Macaca fascicularis: one gene and its partner. The protein of the gene in region 1 purifies or fractionates together with the protein of each later gene. This does not show direct contact. Links are inferred from orthologs where the notes say so. Each region holds a gene or a part of one and is shown on either strand. Other genes may lie near its edges. The genes, in order: SEC31A and SCYL1.

The links.
Region 2: the proteins of SEC31A (region 1) and SCYL1 purify together in Homo sapiens (affinity purification with mass spectrometry; 3 studies listed by BioGRID and IntAct, counting the BioPlex papers as one, with this or other methods). This does not show direct contact. The link is inferred for Macaca fascicularis from reciprocal best matches to the Homo sapiens genes SEC31A and SCYL1.

Annotation. Positions count from the first base shown.
Region 1 is NC_088379.1:51,025,040-51,028,848, reverse strand, and holds part of SEC31A (protein transport protein Sec31A), read right to left. Parts: intron 1,317-3,809; coding exon 1,197-1,316; intron 1-1,196. UniProt on the Homo sapiens protein: Component of the coat protein complex II (COPII) which promotes the formation of transport vesicles from the endoplasmic reticulum (ER).
Region 2 is NC_088388.1:8,833,505-8,837,802, reverse strand, and holds the end of SCYL1 (N-terminal kinase-like protein), read left to right. Parts: intron 1-276; coding exon 277-432; exon of another isoform or gene 433-858; intron 859-1,005; coding exon 1,006-1,194; intron 1,195-1,312; coding exon 1,313-1,388; intron 1,389-1,639; coding exon 1,640-1,804; intron 1,805-2,040; coding exon 2,041-2,183; intron 2,184-2,861; coding exon 2,862-2,933; intron 2,934-3,017; coding exon 3,018-3,233; intron 3,234-3,320; coding exon 3,321-3,375; intron 3,376-3,491; coding exon 3,492-3,616; 3' UTR 3,617-3,755; downstream 3,756-4,298. Other genes in the region: LTBP3 (latent-transforming growth factor beta-binding protein 3), read right to left, coding at 4,117-4,268. UniProt on the Homo sapiens protein: Regulates COPI-mediated retrograde protein traffic at the interface between the Golgi apparatus and the endoplasmic reticulum. Involved in the maintenance of the Golgi apparatus morphology.

The DNA of each region.
Region 1 (3,809 bases):
CATAAGGGCTAGCATGTATCTGGTTATCAGCTACGTCTGCTCTCGTTTCCACCTTGGTCTTCCCATCACTCCCAGAATGTCAGACACGAAGCTTTCCTGATACTTTCAGTACAGAGAATGGCTTTCCACAAAGCCACTGACCAGCAAAGGCTGCACATATTCATACTCAATGTCTGATGAACAATAAAACCCAGAAGTTGTTTTTTCATGCAGACAAGTAGCCAATGATTGAAAATATTCAATGTGTGCTACCAGAAAATGAAATTTCACTTAAGACTGGCTTTGTGGAATGTTGTTGCAATACAGGGGTATCCTAAGCAAACTAAGTAAAATCAGTTGCTTTAAATGTAAATATGCCTCCGATATCTAAAACATTTAACTATCTTTAACATCTCTGCAAAGCTTTATAAGATGATCTATCTACTTTTAACAATTTCAATATAAGCTCAAAAAGAAATCCCAAATCTGAGTTTCTTGCATAGCACCATTATGTTCTGTTTATGTGCCAAATACCATTTTGTTGATGAGAGGCAGTAAAGCTTGGTGGTTGAGAGCATGAATTCTAGAGCCAGAATGTCTGGGTTTGAATGCTGGCTCTGACCTTAAGTGTTACTTACCTGCTCTTTGCCTTAATTCTCTGGTCTGTAAATAAAAATGACAAATCTATCTGCCACAAGTTATTGTGAAGATTAAGTACATTTATATATAAAAAGCAATTAAATATATTTCTATATGTAATGCAAACTATGTAAGTGCTAGCTTTATTACTTTTGTGCAAACTTTTTAGAAATATACCTTGTAGGACTTCAAGCAATAATTATAGAAGAACTCCATAAAGGATTCTTTTATTTTATTTATTTATTTTGAGATGGAGTCTCTCGCTGTCACCCAGGCTGGAATGCAGTGGCACGATCTCGGCTCACTGCAACCTCTGCCTTCTGGGTTCAAGTGATTCTCCTGCTTTAGCCTCTTGAGTAGCTGGGACTACAGGTGCATTCCACCACACCCAGCTAATTTTTTGTACTTTTAGTAGAGATGGGGTTTCCCTATGTTGGCCAGGATGGTCTTGAACTCCTGGCTTCAAATGATCCACCTACCTTGGCCTCCCAAAGTGCTGGGATTACAGGAGTGAGTCACCACGCCTGGCCAAGGATTCTTCTAATTAAGCAAAATATGATTAAAAAAAAAATACATACAGGGTCTGTTGCTGAAGAAAGGCAGCGCTGAATAAGATCCTCAAATGTGGTCTTTAGAATGAGGTGTTCATCTGGAATAGGTTTCTTGGTAATTTTTTTTGTTGGCAAAGACTGCACATGCTGGAAGAAACACAACAAAAACTGATCAGAAACGACCAGAAGCTACCTTATATACACAATCTTGAATCTATATGATAAACAGAAACTGACAACCTTATAGATAGACCTATTCAAAATCAAATTAAAATTTAATGTGGGAAATCACTTAGGATAAGTAAAAATAAAAACCAGATATCTAGTACAAAGTGTAGGCATTCTTCCTACAGTTTGGATTTTCATATACAGGACTGGATACAAAGTAGTTGATTAATTAGGTAACATATGTTGGTCAATATTGTTTATAACTGATGGGAAATAAGTATGTGCCAGCAGAGAATAAAAACAAGGCACTGGAAAACACACTTGGCTGGTTAGAATGGCTGCTTGCTCTGCTTGTTGGCTCATTCTCGTGTGTGCTGGCATTCTTCTATTCTTTTACTCTTAGAGGTTGTTAATTGGGCTGTGATCAAAACTGTAAGATGAAGCCAAAGATTAAGAGAGAAGACATCCCGATGCTGCTGAGTGTACAGATGAAAGAACAAAGAAGAAATGGTTAAGTTTTATTAGTTCATTCTTTCACTCATTCAAAAAATATTAGGCAACTATGTGCCAGGCACTGGCTATGTACTACTGGTGAGCCAATACAGAAATGATCTCAGTTCTCAGGGAGTTTACAGGCTAATGGAAGAGGCACAGTTTAAAAACATCATCAATGTATGTAAAATGGCAACTGTAGTACGTTAACACTTGGTGGAAACAAAAGATGCTATAACTGAGATTTGACTGAGGGAAGGGAAGGCTCTCTTCAGGAAATTTTACTGGAAGGACAAAATGGAGTTGAACAGTTAAGTGAGGAAAAAAGAGCATTCCAGATGAAAGGAATAACATGTACAAAGGAAGGATCACGGTAAAAGGGAGCTAAAAGGTCAGTATAGCTGGAGCAGAGAGAACAAGGAGTATGAGCTGAGGCCTTCCAGACAATGTTGAATATTTCGGTCCTTATCCTGAGAACGATGGGAAGCTGTAATGTTTTAGGCAAAGACGAAAAAAGGCCAAATTAGAGATGGATCAAAGTAGATATCAGCAGACCAATTAGGAGGTTCCTGCACTGATGAAGATTAGAGATGAAGGTAGCATGGACTAGAGTAAAAACGTGGAGAAGAAAGGATTCAAAAAATATTTTGGAGTGATATCGACAAGATTTCGGGAGACAGATTTAAAATAGAGGTTAAAGGGAAAAGTGTATAAAGATGATCCCCAGGTTTTTGCCTGGATTCCACAGAAAAGATTATGGTGCCACTCACTGATAACAGGAAACAAGGAAAGATGACTAAGTTTGGGAAGAAGAGTATGAGTTAGGTTTTGGACATGCTGAGGTTGAAGTGCCTCCAAGACATCCAAGTAGGCAAGCAGCTGGGTATATAGCCTGGCTGAACACTATGTATCTTTCTCTTTTGATGGTAACTAAGCTTCAGGTCTAGGCGAGTACAGCATGAGAACCCAGGTCTAAACAAATATAAGGGCTAAGTAGCTTCCCAAAATAACACAGGCTTGTAATCTTTTTTATTTTTATATTTAAATAAAACTGTAATTTTTATTTTTCCAGAAAGAACCATTTCTTCTCATCTTTGTCAAAATGTTTTTAAAATGCAACTCTTAACATTTAAAAATTCCTTAGGCATATTATCTCTTTCTTTTTTTTTTTTTTGAGATGGAGTCTCGCTCTGTTGTCCAGGCTGGAGTGCAGTGGTGCGATCTCAGCTCACTGCAACCTCTGCCTGCTGGGTTCAAGCAATTCTCCTGCCTCAGCCTTCTGAGTAGCTGGGACTACAGGCGCATGCCACCACGCCCAGCTAATTTTTGTATTTTTAGTAGAGACAGGGTTTCACCATGCTGGCCAGGCTGGTCTTGAACTCCTGACCTCAGATGATCCACCCGCCTCGGCCTCCCAAAGTGCTGGGATAACAGGTGTGAGCCACTGTGCCCAGCTTCAGGCATATTATCTCTTAACAGTAAAGTATACTCTTGTGACAAGAGATACAATCTTTACAAATTTGACTTCAATGAATCAAAGACAGAATCAGACAGTAGAACTAGTTTTTTTACTTGGGCAGGAGTTTGTTTCATCTTCTTATATTGAACTTTGATCTAAGCTCTTTATTTCTCATGAATAGATCAAAATACTTAACTATGTCTAAGTGTGTTATGTAGAAATGTGTTCAATTTTTCAACATTCAGGACTTTGCCAACTGGCTGTTTGTGTTGTGAAAAGCAAGTAAAAAATGTTTTTCTCTATCTGAAGATAAGGCTGTATTATTAGCTTTTATACATACACATAAAAATATATAACTCACTACATTTTTATTTTCTATTTTAAAGAGAAAAATCTTTGGAAACAGCTTTTACTTAGCAACCTCAGATGCAGAGATGATTCATCTGATTTTAAATTATGGCTACTGACCTAGCCAAGTTATAGTAAACACTCTTAAATGTATAACCTTCTTTTATGTGGCC
Region 2 (4,298 bases), on another chromosome or scaffold:
TGTATGAGTCTAGGTGGAGTGCCATCAGGAGAGCAGAGCAGAGGAAATGGGCGACAGGAGTGCAGACAGACTTTGGAGGTTTTGCCGTAAGGGGGACAGAAATGGGGTCCCTTTCCTCAACATGCTGGCCAGGGCCAGGGCCAGGCCCAGGCTGGGAGGTGGCCTTGCAGGCTTTGATGGGTGTGCTCTGGGATGAGGGCTGCCAGGAGGCTGTTCCTGCACAAGACTCTTTGCCCACCAAAGCCCACAGTTCCCCTGCTCATTTCTGCCCCACAGTCCATGCTGCTTCTGGCCCCGAAGCTGAACGAGGCCAACCTCAATGTGGAGCTGATGAAGCACTTTGCACGGCTACAGGCCAAGGATGAACAGGGTCCCATCCGCTGCAACACCACGGTCTGCCTGGGCAAAATCGGCTCATACCTCAGTGCCAGCGTGAGTGTCCTGCACAACTGCTGGAGCCTGGTCCCTGTCGCAGGACCACGGCCTCCTCCAGGGCCAGGAGTCCTGTGTGTGTGGGCCTTCATTCTCCCAGAGACCCAGGCCCTGAACGCTGTTGGTCCCATATCTGGGTTCCCAGAGGTGGAGTGAATTGGCCAAGGTCACACAGCCAGGAGGGTGGATCTGGGATCAGAATCCAGGCCTGCTTGGCCTCCCGGCCTGTGTGCATCCTCTCAGCCAGGGTTTGTAAGTTCAGATGCTTGCTGTGCCCAGACAGTTAACAGGAATGAACAATCAGCTGGGCAGGGAGGAAGGGAGCCTGTGTCCGAGCCCTGGGGATAGCTGCTGTTGTGGTCCCATGCCCTGAGGCAGTGTGGAGCCCAGTGATTTGGGAAGAGAAGCCCAGGTCCAGAGTTTTAGGTAAACTCTCCCCATTTAAGTGATTCATTTACATTTTTCAGATTCTGGGGGCCTACGTATGGCCCCGTTCTGGGAAGTAAGGGCTGGTGGTTCTGGGCCCCAACACTGACCCTCTACTCAGGAGCCCTCTTTCCTGCCCCATCATAGACCAGACACAGGGTCCTTACTTCCGCCTTCAGCCGAGCCACTAAGGACCCGTTTGCACCGTCCCGGGTTGCGGGTGTCCTGGGCTTTGCTGCCACCCACAATCTCTACTCAATGAATGACTGTGCCCACAAGATCCTGCCTGTGCTCTGCGGTCTCACTGTAGATCCTGAGAAATCTGTGCGGGACCAGGTGAGGCACAGCTGGGCCTGGCCTTGGGCTGGGGCTGTAGGGGATGTCAGGCCCTAGCTGGCCTGGTAGGTTCTTGGGAACCCCAGAGGCCCCAGCTCTGCCCCTTGTTACCCCACAGGCCTTCAAGGCCATTCGGAGCTTCCTGTCCAAACTGGAGTCTGTGTCGGAGGACCCGACCCAGCTGGAGGAAGTGGGTGAGTGGCCTACACTCGTGTTCCTTCTTTCCCTGCTATGTACTTGACAGTGACCTGTTTGTGTCCCACCCCCACTGGAGTTTCTGAAAGGCCCTTGTGAGCAGACTTGACTCAGCTCCCCCTTCACAGATGGGAGAAATCAGGCCTGGAGAAGGGAGTGGCGGCTACAGGGCACTGTCAATTCCTGCTGTCCTGTCACCCATGGGTACCTGACGTGCCCATACCCACCTCTCTCTCATGCCACTGCCCAGAGAAGGATGTCCATGCAGCCTCCAGCCCTGGCATGGGAGGAGCCGCAGCCAGCTGGGCAGGCTGGGCCGTGACCGGGGTCTCCTCACTCACCTCCAAGCTGATCCGTGTGCACCCCACCACTGCCCCCGCAGAGACCAACATTCCCCAAAGACCCACACCTGAAGGTGAGCGTCCTGGCCTGGCTGCATCAGTGACTGAGAGGGCTGGGAGCTGCAGGCACCCAGGAACTGTTACTGTCTGACTCCCCCGGGGATGGTGAGGGGAATATAGGGGCTGGGGTAGGCTCTAGTCACCCTGTGGGCTTCCTTGGCACCCCTTCTCCCCAGTAGCCCCCTTCCCCTAGCAGCCTCTGCCCTGTCCCAAGACTCCCCTGAAAGCTCAGTGAGCCTCTGCTCCCCAGGAGTTCCTGCCCCGGCTCCCACCCCTGTTCCTGCCACCCCTACAACCTCAGGCCACTGGGAGACGCAGGAAGAGGACAAGGACACAGCAGAGGACAGCAGCGCTGCTGACAGATGGGACGACGAAGACTGGGGCAGCCTGGAGGTGTGTGGGGCTGAGGGAGCCTCCCCAGGGGACCCCAGCTCAAATTCACAGGCTGCCATTCAGGGAGCTTCTGTGGGGCCTGGCTGGAGTTGGCCTGTCCTCATCTGCATAGCATCCCTGGCGCATAGGCTTCATGGAGTGGCCATTGTAGACCAGAGCCAACAGCAGGCCCCACTCGACCCGTGGCCCCAGGGAGCAGGCTGGGCAGATGGTGCCTGGGGCATTCCATGGACTTCCTCACTCTCACCCACACCATCCCTCTTCCCCCTCCTCCAGTGCCCACCAAGCCCTGGGGTCAGCAAGGAGAGGCAACTCCTAGGTCTAGAACCAGACCAGTTCTGCTTGGGGCATGGGTTCAGGATGGGCTGAGGGAGGACTGGGGCTGCCCTCAGAATGGGGCAGAGCTGGGGGCCCAATTTCCCCATCTGACTGAGAGCAGCATTTTCTGGCCCCCAAGGCTGTTGGAAGGGGCATCTAGATCTCATTCCCCGGGCTCAAAAGGGGGTTGAAGGCAGGCCAGGGTCAGCGTCCATTTAATATATGGGAAACAGAGCCTGAGGAGCAAATGAGGGGGAAGGCAAAAGACAGTGGTGGGGCCCGTGGCTCGGACAGTGCTGGGGCCGGCTCACTTGCCCTTTAGCATGCGGTGGGAGTCAGTGGTCCCTTCCCACACTGCAGCAGGAGGCTGAGTCCGTGCTGGCCCAGCAGGATGACTGGAGCACTGGGGGCCAAGTGAGCCATGCTAGTCAGGTGAGCTGGGTCAGGCGGGTGTGTGTGTATGGGGCCCTTTCCTCCCTGGGCCCAGGGCTACTTCCCCTTCCCGCTCTTCTACAGGTTAGCAACTCCGACCACAAACCCTCCAAATCCCCAGAGTCCGACTGGAGCAGCTGGGAAGCTGAGGGCTCCTGGGAACAGGGCTGGCAGGAGCCAAGCTCCCAGGAGCCACCTCTCGAGGGTACGCGGCTGGCCAGCGAGTATAACTGGGGTGGCCCAGAGTCCAGCGACAAGGGTGACCCCTTCGCTACCCTGTCTGCACGTCCCAGCACCCAGGTACCCAGCATGGGTCTGGCGAGAGGGTAGAGATGGTGGGCCTCAGCCCGAAGTGGGCCCCACTGCAGCCCACACTTTTCTTTACAGCCTAGGCCGGACTCGTGGGTTGAGGACAACTGGGAGGGCCTGGAGACGGAAAGTCGTAAGTGCTTCCCCTGGGCGGGCTGAAGACTAGGGCTCCCCGACCAGCCCGTCCCTACAGGCCCCAGGCAGGCACTGGCTGGAGAGCTGAGACCGGGGCTCCCTTCCTAACCCCAGGACAGGCCAAGGCTGAGCTGGCCCGGAAGAAGCGCGAGGAGCGGCGGCGGGAGATGGAAGCCAAACGCGCCGAGAGGAAGGCGGCCAAGGGCCCCATGAAGCTGGGAGCCCGGAAGCTGGACTGAACCGTGCGGTGGCGCTTCCCGGCCGCGGAGAGCCCGCCCCACAGATGTATTTATTGTACAAACCATGTGAGCCCGGCCGGCCCGGCCAGGCCATCTCACGTGTACATAATCAGAGCCACAATAAATTCTATTTCACACCCCCCTGTGCCGGGCCCAGTCTAGCCCGTGGGAGGTGGCTGGGGTCTGGTGCCGCGCTGTGCAGCCCGCGCCCACGTCAGACGTGAACATCAATTTGCTTCGAAAGACAAGGATAAAGAGGCACGATCTGATTTATCAGTTTCTAGGAAACACCCTCTGGGAGGAAGGCAGACAGCGCCCGCCGGGGACCTTACAACCGCCCGCCAACCGGGTGGGGCCGGTAGGGGCGCCGCGGGTCTCAAGGCGCAGGGAGGGTCTGCGGGCCCCAACGTCCCTGGGTCCGAGCCCCAAGTCGGGGCAGAAGTGAGGCCGAGCTCGCAGAAACCCCTCAGTGATCACCGAGGTCTGGGCCGAGGGCGGTGTCAGCGTCGGCGCTGGGGAACGCAGGCCCCGTGCGGGCGGCTGCGCGCGAAGCCGGCTTTGCAGACGCAGCGGAAGGAGCCGCTGGTGTTCACGCAGCGCTCGCTCTTGCACAGCAGCCCACGCTGGTTCAGCTCTCGGCACTCATCGATGTCTGCAGGTGGGGCGACAGGTGCGGCTTCGC